Arabidopsis thaliana: one gene and its partners. The protein of the gene in region 1 interacts with the protein of each later gene in a pairwise test. Each region holds a gene or a part of one and is shown on either strand. Other genes may lie near its edges.

What was found.
Region 2: the proteins of AT4G00238 (region 1) and CW7 interact in a two-hybrid assay, tested with the Arabidopsis thaliana proteins (one large-scale study listed by BioGRID).
Region 3: the proteins of AT4G00238 (region 1) and AT1G24580 interact in a two-hybrid assay, tested with the Arabidopsis thaliana proteins (one large-scale study listed by BioGRID).
Region 4: the proteins of AT4G00238 (region 1) and AT5G52547 interact in a two-hybrid assay, tested with the Arabidopsis thaliana proteins (one large-scale study listed by BioGRID).

What each region holds. Positions count from the first base shown.
Region 1 is NC_003075.7:103,271-106,956, reverse strand, and holds AT4G00238 (DNA-binding storekeeper protein-related transcriptional regulator), read left to right. Parts: upstream 1-1,735; 5' UTR 1,736-1,827; coding exon 1,828-2,865; 3' UTR 2,866-3,134; downstream 3,135-3,686. Other genes in the region: PLDBETA2 (phospholipase D beta 2), read left to right, coding at 8-205, 284-577. UniProt on the Arabidopsis thaliana protein: Transcription repressor that binds DNA in a sequence-specific manner, 5'-GCCT-3', to regulate the expression of PGR. Acts as a modulatory component for the glucose-triggered developmental leaf growth process.
Region 2 is NC_003070.9:21,859,464-21,866,748, forward strand, and holds CW7 (CW7), read left to right. Parts: upstream 1-1,818; 5' UTR 1,819-2,125; coding exon 2,126-2,157; intron 2,158-2,372; coding exon 2,373-2,562; intron 2,563-2,660; coding exon 2,661-2,735; intron 2,736-3,111; coding exon 3,112-3,218; intron 3,219-3,552; coding exon 3,553-3,613; intron 3,614-3,928; coding exon 3,929-3,988; coding exon of another isoform or gene 3,989-3,992; intron 3,993-4,067; coding exon 4,068-4,142; intron 4,143-4,682; coding exon 4,683-4,817; intron 4,818-5,158; coding exon 5,159-5,213; intron 5,214-5,785; coding exon 5,786-5,908; coding exon of another isoform or gene 5,909-5,955; exon of another isoform or gene 5,956-6,199; coding exon 6,200-6,477; 3' UTR 6,478-6,526; coding exon of another isoform or gene 6,527-6,553; 3' UTR 6,554-6,747; downstream 6,748-7,285. Other genes in the region: CF9 (Carbohydrate-binding protein), read left to right, coding at 305-1,450.
Region 3 is NC_003070.9:8,708,154-8,711,362, forward strand, and holds AT1G24580 (RING/U-box superfamily protein), read left to right. Parts: upstream 1-1,787; 5' UTR 1,788-2,024; coding exon 2,025-2,420; 3' UTR 2,421-2,671; downstream 2,672-3,209. Other genes in the region: AT1G24570 (transmembrane protein, putative (DUF707)), read left to right, coding at 50-151, 214-327, 403-459, 549-615, 704-757, 861-938, 1,015-1,050, 1,219-1,338; AT1G24575 (DEAD-box ATP-dependent RNA helicase-like protein), read right to left, coding at 3,058-3,209.
Region 4 is NC_003076.8:21,325,360-21,329,511, reverse strand, and holds AT5G52547 (uncharacterized protein), read left to right. Parts: upstream 1-2,013; 5' UTR 2,014-2,064; intron 2,065-2,074; exon of another isoform or gene 2,075-2,205; intron 2,206-2,461; exon of another isoform or gene 2,462-2,580; 5' UTR 2,581-2,669; coding exon 2,670-2,672; intron 2,673-2,871; coding exon 2,872-3,189; 3' UTR 3,190-3,649; downstream 3,650-4,152. Other genes in the region: AT5G52550 (stress response NST1-like protein), read left to right, coding at 516-1,598.

The DNA of each region.
Region 1 (3,686 bases):
ATTATAGGGATTATGTCGAAAGAGCAGAAGATTTATGATATATGTTCATTCAAAAGGGATGGTTGTTGATGATGAGTATGTGGTAATTGGATCTGCAAACATAAACCAAAGATCAATGGAGGGGACAAGAGATACAGAGATTGCAATGGGAGCTTACCAGCCTCAACATACATGGGCACGACGACAGTCAGGTCCTCGGGGTCAGGTAATAGCACACAAAGATAGTACACACATGGTTTCATAGTCCTAGTCGTATCAATAATACTTGGTACATAATCTGCAGATCTACGGATATAGAATGTCGCTTTGGGCAGAACACATGGCACTGCTAGATGATTGCTTTGTGGAGCCAGAGAGTCTAGGGTGTGTAAGGAAAGTGAGAACAGTGGCGGAGGAGAACTGGGAACAGTTTAGGAGTGAGGAAGTGTCGGAGATGAGAGGACATCTGATGAAATATCCGGTGGAAGTTGATCGGAAAGGCAAAGTCCGACCACTTCCAGGAAGTGAGGAGTTCCCTGATGTCGGAGGAAACGTTGTTGGATCCTTTCTAGCCATACAGGAGAATCTCACTATCTAATCATAAGCAGAGTCGCATTTATTAAGAAGACCTTATATGTGTAAACAAACAACAATTGATCAGACTTTGTAAATAAACAAAGTTTGATGTTTCTCCTCAAGTTTGAATAACAAGTAAAAAGAAGCTACTTAATCCTAATTCTATTTAGAATAAGAAATCATGTACATGAAAAAGCTTTGGCCTGGCTATAAAATCCGAAATCCGAAAACCGATCCGGAACCGAACTTGAACCGAATAGTTACAAAATCCGAATGGATAATGAATTCTCCTATCCGAATTACTCGAACCGAATCCGATCCGAACCGAAATCCGAGAGGATATCCGAAAACTGAAAAATATATATATCCAAAAATATTATTTATATTTAGTTGTAATTTTATAATAAATAACAAAATATCCTAAATAATAAAGAAATTGGAAATCTTTTAGTTACATTTGTTAATAGTATACATACTTTTGCAAAATTTAACCAAATTTTAGTAAAGATTAAACCAATTTTTATTTAAGTTGAACAATTTTTAGCTCTTTAAAAACCGGTCCGAATCCGACACTTATCCGAACAAAAACCAAACCAAAGATTAGTAAAATCCGAACGGATAATAAATTTTCTATCCAAATTATCCGAATCCGAAAATATCCGATCCGAATTCGATCCGAAAATTCATAAAATCCGTACGGATAATAAGTTCTCCTATCCTAATGATCCGAATCCGAATATATCCGATTCGAAATCCGAATGTCCAAGCCTAGCCTGGCTACTAAACTTTGTCTATATTTAACGGCAAAGATCTCTAGCAGTAGTAGTATCATTCAAAAAATGAGAAGACTGTTACAGAGACTAAAGAGAGTGTGTACCATGCGTATCAGATTCAAACTAATAATGTTAGCAACCCCTGAAGAAGATAAGACTATATGCTTATTGTAGCCTTTATTCTCTGTTGAATCCTAGCAATGAACATTATAGGCAGAGCAAAACGACTAATATGAAATGGAGAACACTAGACAAGACCAACCGATGATACTTAGTCTAAAGTCAATACCTTGTCCCTATCAAGCCCACCAAAACTCTTAGCAGACAACATTCGAACAACCTTAATTTGTTGTTGGGCTTTGTTTAATTAGATTGTTTGTTAAATATAAAAGAGAGTGAAGAATGTTCAGCGTTAAAGGAAAAAAAGTCTCGCCGCTCACTAACCCTAAAAAAAGTAACTCTCTCACTCACTCTTCTTCATCATACCGAAAAAAATCCAATGGCTTCTTTGGAAAATCCAGCAATCGATTCTTCAAGCGAATTTGAGAGTTCTTCTGAAGAGATCTCTTCTTCTAAAGAAAGCAAACCCAAAGAAGCTCCCGTCACTGTTCCGTCAACAAAAACCCTAAACTCTCCTTCCGCCGCCGTGGCAGTTTCTGATGACTCAGAGTCAGAGAAGCAGTCATTCGTCTTAACCAGGCGGAAGAAGAAAGAAGGTGCTGCTGAATCACCGGCAGTGAAGTCAGGGAAGAAAGAAGGTGCTGCTGAATCACCGGCAGTGAAGTCAGGGAATAACGAAGGTGCTACTGAATCACCGGCGGTGAAGTCAGGGAAGAAGCGAGCTAGCGAAGGAACCACGTCAAGGGACATGCATGTCAAAAGAATTAAGAAAGAGGGCGATAACAAAAAGGGGCATGCTCAGAGAGTATGGAGTGAAGAAGACGAGATCTCTCTCCTGCAAGCAATGATCGATTTCAAAGCTGAGACAGGTACAAGTCCTTGGGATCATAAGGATAGGTTTTTTGATATCGCCAAGAAATCTATAAGCTTTGATGTTAGTAAAGTCCAGTTCTTTGACAAGATTAGAAGCTTTAAGAGAAAGTATTTTGGTGACCGGAAGGTGAGAAGTGTTGAATCGGATCATGATAAGAAGTGTTTGGGTTTGGCTGTTTCTTTTTGGGGATCTGATGGTGTGAGCCTTGAAACTCCTGTGAAGAAGAAAGTGAAAGATGAATCTGTTCTTGTTAAGGCTAATAGCAAGGAGAAGAACGTGAAACCTTTGGTTAAAGAAGATGAGCAAGTCGTGATTCTTGGAGAAGATTCGGAGTGGTTTGAGGAGTCTTTTCTTGTTCCGGTTATCGCTAGTCTCGGTTTGGATGAGTATTCTGTGAAGAAGAAGTGGAGCAAGGTGTCCGTGGAGACTAAGAAGAGGATTCAAGAGAAGATGAAGCTTGTGGATGCTAAGAAATGTGAGTTGTTGTTGGCGAACATGGATGTTTTGAAGGAGGTGACTTCAGTGCTTACTCAAACCAACTAAGAAGAAGAAGAGGAAGCTATTGGATTGTATATGTTTATCCGTTTAATCTCGGGTTTAATGAAGATGTAATGCCTTATTTTGTTATCTATCTTAGGCTTCATCTTTCTATCTACTCTAATGAACTTTTAGGACTTTGGATTCTCGTGTGAGAATTAGCTTTGTCTAACAAGCCTTTTGGTCGATGGTTGTAATGAATTAGCTAAGTTGTCTAACTAGCCTTTTGGTCTATGGTTATAATGAACTTTTAAGACTTTGTAAATGTGCTTCTTATATGAATGTCTCTCTACTCGTAACCAGAGTTATTACAAAACAAAGAAACACACAACAGAATGTGGGAGATTGTTAGCTATCATACCAATTGAATTTTTACATGTTGTGGTTACTACTAACTACTGTCCCAATTTCATATCACTTGTTGAGCTCTTGCTCTGCTTACACTCTCCTTTAGCTCAGCAACTACATGACTCATCCTCGGTCTATTCTTAGAACTAGAAGATGCACAAGCCATTGCTACTTCAGTGATCTTCCATGCCGAACCAGCATCAAACCTCTCCCCTAGCTTTGGATCCACAATGCCTCTGATATCTCCTGTCGACAGCATTAAAGTCGACTCAGTTATGTGTATGTTCTCTGCTGTTGTTCTTGAACGTGCAATCACCGGTTGGCCTGTGACAACCTCTAAAAGAACAACCCCGAAGCTCTAAACATCACTTTTCTCGCTTAATTCTTGCGGTCAAATGGTACCTTCATTTTGTAAAACAATGTCTACAGCAGCAAAAGACCAGTGACCAAAACAAAGTAGCAAATAGACTGACCTGACA
Region 2 (7,285 bases), on another chromosome or scaffold:
ATTTGGTCAGCAAAATTGGTTTTGCCATAACCGGAAAGATTCCAAAACAATCGTCACTTTAAAATCAAACCAACCGAACATCGAAAAGATTCGTCTGTTGTTGTCTTCTTCTTCTTCAACTTGTTCTTTGTTTCTCTTTCGCCTCTTGAGTTCCTCACTTCTTGGTTCTACCTTCATTCATGTCTCTATCCAAATCTATCTGGTAACTCAAAATCATCACTTCTTCTACTCAACAATTTCACAATCCCATCCCCAATTTTACAATCCCTAGATCTCCCTCCCTCTTCAATTCGCTGTAGTTTTCATGGACCTTGTTCGATTGAGAGACATAGGTTCAATTTCACCTCAGAGAAGAAGGAAATGGCTGATTCTATTAGCGGTTTTCGGTGTTTCGGGTTACGGAGTTTACAGGGTTTACAATTCTCAATACATCGCTAAGAAGACGAAGCGTCTTATGAAACTCTTCTCAGGCATTGTTTCATTCGCCGAAATGGTCATCGATTCCGCGGAGACGATAAGTATCGTTTCTCGAGATTTGAAAGAGTTTCTCGAATCAAATTCCCACGAAATCCCTAATAGCTTGAAACAGCTATCGAAAATCACCAAATCAAAAGAGTTCACTGATTCTCTAGCTAGGGTTTCTGAAGCTGTAGCGATTGGTGTTTTCCGTGGGTATAATTCCGATCCAAACGTCGAAAAAGAATCGAATTTGAGTGTAGTTGATAGAGTTTTCTCAGAGGAAGGAGCTGGTTTTGTTTCTGTTGTTGTTGGTAGTTTTGCTAAGAATCTTGTTCTTGGATTTTACTCTGGTGAGATTGAGATTGGTAGTGATGATTCTTTAAAACCTAGATGGATGAATTTGCTTAGTGATGATAAGTGTAGAGAGCTTTTAGCAGATTGTATTGAGAGATTCACTAGCTCAGCTGTATCGGTGTATATCGATAAAACGGTTGGTGTTAATACTTATGATCAGATATTCGCTGGTTTGACGAATCCGAAACATCGAGATAGTGCTCGAGATGTTCTTGTTTCGGTTTGTAATGGAGCTCTTGAGACGTTCATGAGAACTTCTCATGATGTCTTCACATCTTCAGGAGAGAAAACCGATTCCTCCTTGAGGAAGTCGGAGAATCGAGAAAACGGATGGGCAGAGGCGCTTTCGACTACTTTAGCAGTGCCGAGTAATAGGAAGTTCATGTTTGATGTTACGGGAAGAGTGACGCTAGAGACGATGAGATCAATTCTTGAGTTTGTAATCTTGAAAACGTCACAAAGTTTTAAGAGGAGTTTGGATGTGATTCATGAAGAAGTTACAGAGAGAGGACGTCAAGTAGTTGGATACGTTGGTGCCAAATCTTCAGTGATAATCACTGTTTGTCTTGCGGTTTACTTTCACATCTTTAACCGCTTTGTTCGAGGCCCTCCGGTTTGTTTAAGCCAGCAATTCTAGTTAATCGGATCGATCTATTAGCTTGTTAGAGTTGTTAGGGACATTAGATCTTCAGCCTTCCATATTCTTATTGGTAAGTTGGAGCTGAATAGCGTAGTAGAGTCTTAGCAGTGTTATGTACCCACATATTCATTATTGTTTATTTATAGAGGATTCTTGAGATAATCTCTGCATCTATGCTACCATTTCCAGTCAAACCATATAATGTATTCGAATGGATGTTGCCGGCGGAGCGGACTAGGCAACTCTATTTCTTGGGGCGGATTTATCCGCATCAAATTTATCTTTATGTAAGAGCCGTATGTAGTAAAATATTTTTAATTTTTTCGGGCATATTAAGACGGACTATAATTCATGAATGGTAAATAAAAAATAATCTACTCCACAAACGGATTTATCCGCTAACAACCATGAAAGAGAAAAAAGATTTAATTGTCACTGTAGCAAATCGGCAGTTATTGAGGTTTCCCCGCTCCGATTGACGCAACACGCCAAGATTTTGCCAACGCTAAAGCAAATCAGATCGAAGATTTGTGCTCTCTTCTATCTCTCACTCGCATCGAATTCAGCAAAAATTAAAATTGAAGAACGAGTCAAAGATAGAGAGAGAAAAACCCTATTCGATCACGAGATCGTAATCAACGTTTTTAGCAGAATCATCGGAGGGTAGAAAAAATGCTCAACGATGGCGAAGTAACTCCTTCTAGGTAAACAAGTCAGATTCTTTTGTTGTTCTATGTTTGATCTCGTGCTTAGTTCCAGTCACTGCTCAAATTGAAATGAGATAGTTTTCTATTTGATGAATTTTGTTATTCCACCATGAAATTGCTTAATTCGAATACTAAGATTTCGTAGTAATTCAGCATTTATTTGATTCGATCTTGCTTAAATTGATTTTGTTGTCTGCTTCATGTTTTTTCAGACATGAGATTCTGAGTATGGTGAAGAAGCACTCAAAGTCATTAGGAAAGACGTCTCTTGATGAGCAAGATGCGTCTGATGTAGAAATGGACTCTAATTTCTGGCATGGTGTGTTTGATGTGTACTTTGTTCGTTGCATGGAGTCGAGGAGGCGACAAGACGATGATCTTCTGTTTTTTGTCAGGAAATTGGTATGTAAAGCTTGGACCTTTTTCTCTCAGTCGAAAACTTAGAACTTTGTTATCATCCTTCTTGTTAATGTTGTTGAGTGTTTTGTTGCTTTTGCCAGAGCTGTAAGTCATATGGTTTGACTGAAAATGAGGATGCACCAGCTCCTTACTTTGTACGCAGGTGGGCACCTAAGGTAAAAAACTGTACGAAATAATACAGATACCTAGTTAGATCTCACTACATGAGGTTTGGTTTTGACATGTAACATTTCAACTGCGATGTAAAAATTGTATATTAACAAGGTCTTAGATTGCAACTCCCCTGAAGGTGATGGAAATATTAATTTTACTTCTTTTCGGGTGAGGGATTAAAGTAAGCTAGAGTACTACGTGCTTATTGTAAAGGATTGTCTTTTCTGGCCTACATGCTAAAGCTTTTCACGATCCATCATATCTTATTTAGACCATGGGACAGAGACACTTCGAGTAACCATTTATTTGTTGTGTTGCACCTTGTATGTATTGTCTACAAACATATGATAATGCATTTCTTTCTTACTTGTAAAGCAGTTAGATGAGCTGCTTGGTGAAAGTCTGGCTGAAGTTGATTGGAGGAAATCATTTTATTTGAACATGATTGCCCACACATCGTTCACTGTTACTGTTGCGATTTGCAGGTAACCGTTTCAGTCAGATTGTGATTAGCGGCATCCTGTACTAATTTCATGTTGTCTAATTTACAGCAGTTGTCAATTCTTGTTCTGTTATTGCTAATATTACTATCCTTCTTTCCTGTTTGGGGTTCAAACTCATCTTATTGCATCAATCATTACTTCAGTCTAGCTATTTATTAGGTTGGAATCTCAGATACCATCTTCTTAGTTTCAGTGATTAGGCCTTGAGTCATTTTTATGACATGTTCTCTGGTCTATATACTACTTATCATATGACTTTTTGTCTTTCCATTTGACTGCATCATGGTAACTTTGTTTGAACTACTTGTGTTTTTAGTAATGAGGCCCTTAAGACGTACCAAGGAAGTAAAGACACAAAACTATCTCCTATATACAAGGTTAGAGATCCTAAGAGTTTTGGATAATATTACTCTTGACTTTTCAACTCTTCTATAATCTTTTCATATGAAAAAGAAACTGAAGCCAAAGAGTAGTTATATACTCTGCTGTTCAAAATATATCAGTGCAGCTTTGTTCTAATCATCAACCTATTAAGAAAAGAGTAAGGAAACGGAATATGAATTCAGTTTTGTTTTCATAAGGAGAGGACTTTTCACATGAGTCTTGGACCAAGCATATGGATATTTCTTTGGTTTCATTTTCTGTAAGTCAATAGTAATCATGTTCTCTAATCTGACATTCATATTGTGCAGGTTGTAAAAACTGTATATGCATCACCTAGTCGTGTTAATTTTCATCTGGACTCAAAGAAGGCAAGTATAGTCGCTTTTCTCATACCAATGTTTGTCCTTTTGGAATTTGTGTTTGATGTTTCCATTGTTGTTTACCTAGGAAGTGGAAACAACACCTGCCTACCCAGAAATTTGTTTTGCCGTAGATGATTTTGACTCAACCTTTGATGCTGTGGTAACAAATTTTCTTCTCCCTTTTTGTTGTATTGTCCTTCCAACTGTTATATTATGTAGTCATTTCGTTCAAAGAAACTCTAAACATGAATGTCAAAGGAATTATGACATTTTGTTCATAATGAAATCGGCTCTGGAAGAATAGTTTTTAGTTGAGGAAATATGCATGAACTCCCCTTTGTCACTAGGGTGAAGTTACGTGCATTCTTAGTTTCTCCTTAACTGGATAGTAAAATCTTTTGTAGGATACGTTTGTTGGCTTTTGGTACAGGACTGGAGGATCCAGATAATATTATTTCAACTACCTCTTGCGGTGCTTTAACATCCTCTCCTTATTTGAGTTTAGTACCTGCTATTTATTATCTTCTTCAGAGGATTGGCCTGTCTTCTTCTTTAGTTTTGCTTAGGCGTAGAGGAGTTTGGCTTTATGATTCCTATAAATAACTTAAGTCGTATGGTTAGGTTTCATGCATGGAAGTTGTTATACTGACCATAGTTTTTTTCCAACCTTGTTCATTGGCTTTGTCATTGATGTTTTCAGGTTCTGACAGATAAAGATCATTGCTATTGCGTACTACTTAATTCTCACGATGGGGCAGCCTTTCCAAGTGCAACTGTTAAAGATTCGAGTGATTCTAATACGAATGCTGACCCTAGAACTGTGAAAGATCCTAAGGTCTAGTTTTTTCCCACCTATGCTTCACTATTTTCAGCAGTTGCTGCCAATCATCTATCAATTATTCATTTGCCACCTGCTATGAGTTTCAAATAGATTCCTTAATTTGTGGTTAATGCTTGAAAATATCTTGTAACCATGTCATACAGAGGAATATGTCGGTAGTTTCACTGATGCTTGCAACGGTCGATCTTAAACAAATTAACTAAAGTATTGTTTGTGATTTTTGTAAAGATGATTTAACTTCAAGCTCAATGGTTTTCAAAAGGCCTATGGACACATTACATGGTCGTGACTTTCTAATGAGAAAGAAATTGACATGCTGGTGCTTTTGGTTGCAGGTTACTCTGTTTTCTGGGTTTGTCAGCTATCAGATGGTTCGAGAAGCCTATGAAGGTCACTTTACAGTTTCTTTTCTATTTCTTATTCAGTTTTAGAACCTAGTTCAATTCTCCAGCAACTTTTGTAGTTATGGTTTACTTGCCTTAGTCTTCTAGTACTTAGCACTATCATTGTCGATCTCGGTCTTTCATATTTCTCCCAAAATATTTGATGGAAAGTATATATTAAGGGTCCATGATAGTACGGAACTTGGTCTCGAGCTTGACTCCACTATAGCACACAGAATTCATTAGTGGTTATTCATGTCAGGGAAACATGCAGTCTTAATATTCATGCCTTTACTCATTTACTCAAAAAGTAAAGTCGAAATTTTTGGAAGTAGTATGGTTCGTTTAGAGATCAAGGAGGTGTGAATATGAAACGGTACCCAACCTGACAACCTCAAGATGGCTGGACTACAAAATTAACTTTTGTAGACATGGAATTTTGAGATATTAAGAGCTAAAAGACCTAAAGGAACCTATTGCTTGTTTCCTTGTCTATATAGGCTGAGATCGCTTTCGTTGATTTGGGCTAATTAATATTTTCACGCTTTATGTTTTTTCATCTAATAACTTTTATTACAGGGGGGAGGAATCGGTTTGGAAGTCTCCTATCTCTCGGTCATATTACAGGAAAAGCAGACAGACTTTATATGAGAGGCCCAGGAGGACGTGGAGAAGTTGAAGTAGCTGTTTCTGGCGTTGTAGGTACTTTTCATTTCTTATGCTTGAATGGCTCTTTATTTTCCTGTTAGTGTTTTGTTTCCCTATTTTCTCGAGTGTTACAGTGCAGTTAGTAATATTCCATGGAAGATAAAAAAAAAAAAGTAAAAACATAGAGAATGCCCTAGCCAACAATTGTCTTAGGTCGGATTGTCTTAATAGCAGCAATATTTAAGAAGTACAATCGCCAAAATTTAAGAGTAGGAGACTTGTTGAAATGTATATTGAAGACGTAGTATGGTTTAAAGGATGATTGTATAGAATTGCTTTTCTCAGATCAGAGCCAAGTAGTTTTAGGGCCTGTTTCACCTATGTCTTCAAAGAAGAGCATCGATCTCGGATCCATTTTCCGTAAAGCAGCCTCTGTTGCATCTGTCGCAGCTAAACATGCAATAGCAGCTGCTACTGCCTCTTATGATGAAGACGAGATGTTCCCTCTTAAATGCTGCTTAATGTCCATTTCATTACCATGGGACACTATTGCTCATGATCTTTTATTCAAGGTAACAAATGATTTCTCTTTAGCCACACCGGTCGTCAACAATAGACACTAATAGATCTTTTCGATATTGCTGATCGATTCCACTAATCGTCTTTATTTAGGCAACTCCACCAGTCAACATGGAGTAGCACACTCTGGAATGAAGCGTAGGAAACAGAAGTTTGTGTGTTTTGTCTAAATGTTTTTTTTTTTTGTACTTTGATTGAATATTCCTTTTGTGATGTTACTCGACTATGTGGTTTACCACAACCACTGTTATTACCTCAAGGAATAAATGAAAGTAAAGTTGTGAATTTGCAATCATCAAGTCTATATGTTTTGGCTACTCTTCTTGTTTAGTATAATGTGGACTCGCTCAGCCTATACTTTGACAAACAGAATGAATTTCGGTTAGTTAATCAAGGTCCGGTTATTTATATAAAACTTAAGTTCGGTTCGGATCGATAAATCTTTGATTCAGTTTGGTTCGGTTTTTAGGTCGATCCCTATGAGATACAGATGTCTTGCATAGAAAGTATAGAAGATATGGTATTTAAACATGTGAAATAAAACAGCTTTTTGCCATCTTTTGTTGGACTTTACTTGAGAATGTGGAATGCTAAAGAATAAAAAGAAATTAGGGTAGACAAATAAGGAGGAAGCACATGAATCCAACTCTTGGTGGTAGACATTTCTTATTAGATGACAAAACTCTGTTTTAGGTTAAACTAAGGTGTATAGCTTTCTAAGAAAAGGAATTGTGTTAAAATATAGATCGGTTGTTAGACATTTCCTAATTAGATGACAAAACTCTGTATCTGAGGTTAAACTAATGCTTCTATTTTAATAACAAAAAGGAATTATGTTAATATATAGAGAGT
Region 3 (3,209 bases), on another chromosome or scaffold:
CCACTTTTTTTTATCTGGTTTCTTGACTCTCTCATATTGTGAACATAAGGTGGTATGCAAAGAGATTCTTGCACCCGGACATTGTAGCACGATACGATTATATATTCATATGGGATGAGGATCTTGGAGTTGATCACTTTAATGCAGAAGAGTGAGTTTCTCTTACTCTTCTCACTTCCATTTAAAAATTTCTAACTATGTTTGTTGTTGTAGATACATACACATAGTGAAGAAGCACGACCTTGAGATTTCGCAGCCTGGTTTGGACCCAGAGACTGGGTTTAATTGGCAGATCACCAAAAGAAGAGAACATAGTGAAGTCCACAAGTATATATAACGGCCTCTCTAGATTATTTTTGTTACATTACAAAATGGTTCTGAATATGGCTTGAACCTTAGCAGGGAGACAGATGAGAAACTCGACTGGTGCTCTAATCCTCCCCGGCCTCCATGTGCTGCGTATGTTTCAAAAAACGTCTCTATCAAACTCAAGTTTCAGACATATTTAAACCATTAGTAACTTCGTTATGTCTTTAATAAAAAAACAGATTCGTGGAGATAATGGCTCCTGTATTCTCAAGAGATGCATGGCGCTGCGTGTGGCATATGATCCAGGTTACACTTACTTTATTATCTATTGGCTCCTTCATATCTTCATATAATGTCTCCTTCTTGCACCTAATTGTATATGAACCAAAAACAGAATGATTTGGTTCACGGTTGGGGTCTTGACTTTGCACTGAGAAGATGTGTTGAGGTACACAAAAGTTCACTATGTTGTTGCTTAGTGTTTGTACAAATGTTCTTGCATGTTTGATCAATTAATGAAGAGGCTTTCATTTTTATATGTGAAAATGAAGGAGCCTGCATTTGAGAAGATAGGAATAGTAGACTCACAGTGGATCGTTCATCAATTTATCCCTTCCCTTGGCAACCAGGTTACTTAACTTCTTCACTTTCTCCTTTCCAAAACCAATTAAAATTTCTCATTCTTTCTCCTTTTCTTGCCAATAGGGGAAAGCAGATAACGGGAAAGCACCATGGCAAGGGGTAAGCAAAACTTGTTTTTGTCTCAATACAAATTTTCCTCTTGTTTTGGAGAGCTTTCATGTGTTCTCTTCCCTATAACAAAACCTAGGGCTATCTTAGATTTTCTAGATACCTTGACAAGAAAGCAACCAAATGGACCAATCTGTCTTAAACTTTTGTGTGTTGCAGGTGAGGGATAGATGTCAAATGGAATGGAAAATGTTCGAGAACAGAGTGGAAGCCGCGGAAAAGGATTATTTCAGATCGTTACAAGTTGAAAGCCCATCCAATTCAACAACTTCTCATTAGTACCTTACCAATACTAGTTGTAGCCAGGATATTTTAAGGTGCTATATAACATTTACATATAGATCTTATAGGTTATAGAGATACCAATCTCTTTGATCCGCACAACGATCAGATTCCATTGAATAATAGAAACAGGACTGTGAATGATTTTAATCACAAAAAGATTGTGAGGAGCTGAAACAGAACAGGTGTGTGAACTTTGACAAAGATTTGTCCAATTTTTCATGTGTCAGCATGTCTGGTCTAGTGACGTGGCATGCAACCGTGAAACGTTGAGTCTTCCACGTGTCGATCAAGAATCGACCTCGGGAGAACAAGGAGCTCTCCACAACGCACAACTTGGTTGGCTGATCACAATACGTGTCAGAAGTCTAACAACAAAACAGACCACAGAAAAAAAAAAAAAACAGAGTTTTTGTTTTATTTTAAATTTTCTGGTTATAAAAGACGAACCAACCTATTATTGAGTCACAATCAAATTGTGGGAGATGAGTCTCTAACGATAACCTCTCTCTTGGTGACACGTGTTTAGACCACCGCTGCTTAATAAACCCAATCGCCCACCGGAACATGAGTGGCGGCTATACTTCCTCTCTATTTCTTCTCTTCTAAGGATTTTTCGTGTCTCAAAACTTTCAAAGACTCTCAGTTTCTATCTCTGTGAATATAATCTTAGTTATAAAAAAATGGGTCTCTCGCATTTTCCAACAGCGTCAGAAGGAGTACTACCACTTCTGGTGATGAACACGGTTGTTTCAATCACTCTGTTGAAGAACATGGTGAGGTCTGTTTTTCAAATTGTTGCATCCGAGACTGAATCTTCCATGGAGATAGACGACGAGCCTGAAGATGATTTTGTTACTAGAAGAATCTCGATAACACAGTTCAAGTCTCTATGTGAGAACATAGAAGAGGAAGAAGAAGAGAAAGGTGTGGAGTGTTGTGTGTGCCTTTGTGGGTTTAAAGAGGAAGAGGAAGTGAGTGAGTTGGTTTCTTGCAAGCATTTCTTCCACAGAGCTTGTCTAGACAACTGGTTTGGTAATAACCACACCACATGCCCTCTTTGCAGGTCCATTCTCTAGTGGTGGAATCTTGTTTTACACTTTCCTTTTGTTTTGCTTTGCTATAGGAAAATACCACATTCTCTATCCTCTGTTTTACCCTTTTTGGTGTTTATGTTTTTCCCCTTCTTTTTTCTTGGTATGGAGAAGGGGTTTTTTCATAATAAAGGACTATACAATTGATGTGTGTGAATGTTTTCCCCATTTTTCTTGAGTTGAAAAAGGGGTTTGTTTTTCTTCTCTAATAATGGAAATGTCATATTTTCAACTCTTTAAGCTCTCTTTTATTTTAACATTTTAGAAAGAATTGTATTCTTATATCTTCCATTTTATCTCATGTATTCATGATTAGTGTGACAGTCTTGCATTTAAATGTGAAACTAAGACCATAACTTGTAGCATAATTAGTACAATTCCAATTCAAACCAGATTTTGCATGTTATCGGAAAAAACAATTATGTGGAACTAGAAGATCCAAGAGTTCATGAAATATACTAATTTGTAGTCTTTATTTCCATGCACCTTTCTAGACAAAGGAAACAGCACCCATTTTGTTACATAACAAAAATAAAAACCAGAAGAAGAAACACAAATCATACAATACAATCTATATATTATGGTTTGTCATTTATTACTTTTTATTCTTCGTCCACATAGACTAGGCGCTCTTAGTCATCCACTTACTGAACTTCGTATGCTCAAACTTGATGAATTGCTCAGCTTCTTTGTCAACATCCTCTGCTTTTGCAACCTCTCTAGTGCCCATATTCTCGCTCTTTGACCTCCTCATATCTGCATACTCGAAGCCCT
Region 4 (4,152 bases), on another chromosome or scaffold:
TGTTTATAGGTTGGTAACCTGAGTGAGTAATTAAGTAATCAGCTGGGTAACATCTGGTTGTGAAAAAGCTTTCTTGTTTAATGTTTTTGCATATAGCCATATAGAAAATAGAACTGTGTGGTCGTGCAGCTTTCATTAGGTTAAGAAAGCAGATGGGTTGGTTTGGTTTGGTATATTATTTTTGAGATCCCTGTTAACGCAAGTCTAATCTAGTATTGTTTTCTTTTGTAGAAAATGGGAGAAGTTAAGGGATGTTGGAAATTAGGACGAATGCTTTCAAAGGATAACTCTGCAAACTCCTACAACGTCTCCCTTCTCTTATCTCCTGTTGTTTCTGTTTGGGATTGTATTGTCCGTAAAATGAGGTATACCTACATACCTGAGTGGGTGTAGTAGTCATTGAGATCATCGCGCCTTGGTGTAGTGAGTTTGGTAGAATCAAAGTAAAAGGAAACAACCAACTAAAAGAAGAAGCCAGTTAACAAAAGCAAGGCAAACAAAGACTTGTAGCAATCATGGATAGCAGTAGCTCGATGTGCAAACAAGCTCAGCCAATTGTTAGAAAAGCCAGGAAGAAAAAAGTAAAAGGTGTAGTGGACCCAATTAAACAAGCTGAGAAGAAAAATAGACGTCTTGAGAAAGCTATTGCTACTTCTGCAGCAATTCGGGCTGAGCTAGAGAAGAAGAAGCAAATGAAGAAGGAAGGACAGCTAGAGGCAGCAGATGAAGAAGATTCAGCAGATGCTGCAAAGAAGAAGCAGGAGAGAGACGAACTGGAGCGTATCAAACAAGCAGAGAATAAAAAGAATCGGCTGGAGAAATCCATCGCTACTTCTGCAGCCATCATGGCTGAGCTAGAGAAGAAGAAGCTTAGAAAACTTGAGGAACAAAAGAGATTGGCTGAGGAAGGTGCTGCCATTGCTGAGAAGAAAAAGAGACGTCTTGAGAAAGCTATTGCTACTACTGCAGCGATCCGCGCTGAGCTAGAGAAGAAGAAGCAAATGAAGAAGGAAGGACAGCTAGACGCAGCAGTTGAAGAAGATTCAGCATATGCTGCAAAGAAGAAGCAGGAGAGAGAGGAACTGGAGCGTATCAAACAAGCAGAGAGGAAAAAGAGACGTATTGAGAAATCCATCGCTACTTCTGCAGCCATCAGGGCTGAGCTAGAGAAGAAGAAGCTTAGAAAACTTGAGGAACAAAGGCGATTGGATGAGGAAGGTGCCGCCATAGCAGAGGCTGTTGCTCTGCACGTCTTACTTGGCGAAGATTGTGATGACTCATACCGAAACACGCTAAACCAAGAAACAGGTTTCAAGCCATGGGACTATACTACCAAAATCAATCTTTTTAGTGGTGGAATAAACAGATTCTTTCCTCACCAACGGTGCTCAAGCTACGCGGTTCATGATAACAACAGAACAAGAGACAGTAACTGGTCGTCAGTCTCATATGAGCCTTTCGCAAGGGGATGGGATAACAACAACAACAACATGGGAATATCAGCTGATTTGTTTGATACTCAAGCTGTGTCGTCACTACAGATCTCTGAGAATACTGACGTTGACGCAATTGTCTTCAATGGGATGTTCAGAAGATGACGACTGTATCATAATTCCCAAGCATTTGTAACTTATTAAAAGTTTGTGTGCTGTTTTTTATTTTACACAACCAAAACAACTTTTTCGTCTCTTACACTGTGCAAATCCTTCATCTCTCTTTAGCTTTTTAGTGAAGTGAGACTCATACGATCTGTGTTTTTGTTTCCTTTGTGGTTGTACTTAATTTAATCCTTCTCAATTCACTGGCATTTTCAATACTACTAGGCTACTAGCAATAGCTTCAAACTTCAAAGTAAAAATTCGGACGTTGCGAGAATCATTTAACTAAAATGAAACGACGTGGTCTCTGACTTGGTGAGTGACTAATTTTTGACGTTCCAATCACCGGTTCGGTTTTATGTTAAACCGGATAGACATTTACTAGTTACTAGTTAGTAGTTACAGCCATAAATTCTGATTCTGGTGCTCCTGCTTTTTTTTATTGAAGTCTGCGTGCTTTAGCTTTGTAAGTTGCTTTCCATTGATACTCTCTAAATCTTTACAACATTCTTCATCTGTTATTAGTTCCTAAGTATATGAACTCTCTGCTTCTTCTCTCCAGCGTTGTTCAGTTGTGTGTCGAGATGTGCTCGAAGTAGGTGACTAGGTTGACTAACTAGTGATTAGGGTTTTCTGTTCAATTTTGGCTTGTTTCTGGTGTTTTTCTTAATTGAGCTGTTTTGAACTATTGATTATTGTGAGTTCATCACACTTGGAACAGACAATAAATTTGACTACAGATCCTGTTCAATAGAGAGAGCTAACTGCAATTCTCGTGGAGAAGCCTCTGTTTTTTTAATAGTGATTAGGAAATATTGAGTTACTGTAGTATTGTTAGATTGGTTTATGCATTTCTTTTGTAGCTTTTGATGAACAATTGGTCATATGCCATTATTTTCGGTTTTATGGTCCTTATGTGATACATTACTATTAAGTGTTTATTTTGTACTCTTACTGAAATCTTGAGAGCTGTTATTTTCAGGTGGATGCAGAATTGCAGACTATACATTCTTTTTTAAGTTCTTGAGCTTGGAACAATACTTTTCTCACTCTAGTTGTTTCTGCAATCAAATGGTAACACCAATCTCTAATGCAATTTTTGTTCATGTCAGTTCAAACTCTTTCAAGTTGATTTTTGTCTAGCTTTTTCTATTGAGGATCAAACTTGTAAACACGCGATTGAAACCAACTGTAGAATGACAGATCTTGTTTGTTATTCTGTCTTTATGTTACTTTGTGTCATCTTCTAAATACTTTTACATATACCTTGCAGGATACTGGTGGGTTTGTAGATGAAGAAAGCGATGGATCTCAAGCTTCTGCACAGTCATCAAGCTCCCAGGCAGTTAGCCATTCAGATGAAGCAATGTCTCGTCCATCAGGTGTTAAGGCGGCAAAGGCCGCGAAAGCTAAAAGGACTCTGTCAGTGATTAAGAGCATGTGGGAGATTAAGCAGAAGGAATTTGAATTGAACGAGAAGCTTAGCAAGAAGACGTTGTTGGAGACTCTACTTCGAAAAACAGCGCCGCTTAGTGATCTTGAAATGGCTTTAAAGAACAAACTTATCACTGACATATTGTCAAATGCTTGAATGGTGTCTTTTATGTCTTGAAAGTTAGTCTTTTTTGTTTCGGTTAACGCTTCTTCACTTGTTTTTGTTCAGTTAGGTTATGAATCTTAAGTTGTTTGTGTTCTGTTCTAAATTGGTTTGGTTGTGCTCTGTTCTAATTGGTTTGTGTTAGTGTTCAAATGGATTGGTTTGTGTTCTGTTCTAAATGAATTTAAATTCGATTTCAGAGTTTAAAAGGATGAAGTCCATGTCGAGATGCAAGAGTTCAAGGAAGCATAAATAGCAAGTACATGCAAGTGTTGTTCTGTTTTGTGTAGAAGTATATAGGCTATGGTCGTGTGAAGATTCACTTGAGTTTGTGTGTCAAATTTTGTGAGTGTATCAAGTTTTGAGAGTGTAGAGTCTGTGTCAAGTTTTGAGAGTCAAATGTATCCCAAACACTTTCACATTTTTTTCAAATGTTTATATTTTCATAGAGGTTGTTAAAATTTAAAAGGTAAAAACCCTTCAGATGTATCCCAAACTTTTGATTTTGTATTATTTCAATTGGTAAATATGGAGATGCTTTTATTTGGTTAAAATGAAGCGACGTCGTTTAATAAAGTCAGCTGGCTTTATAACTTGATGAATGACAATTGACTAATTTTGTCCGAATCACCGGTTCGGTTTTCTCGTTTAACCGGATAGTCCTTTACTGGTTACAGCCATAAATTCCGATTCTGCTGCTCCTGCTTTTTTTTTTTTATTGAAGTCTGCGTCTGTGAGATCACGCTTTAGCTTTGTAAGTTGCTTTCCATGGATACTCTCTAAATCTTTACAACATTTTTCATCTGTTATTAGTTCCCAAGTTGCATATGAACTCTCTGCTTCTTCTCTCCATCGTTGTTCAGTTGTAATCGAAGTAGGTGCCTAGGTTGACTAGCTAGTAATTACCACCACTCAACGAAATCCATGAGGTTTTGGCGATGAATTTAGGGATTTCTG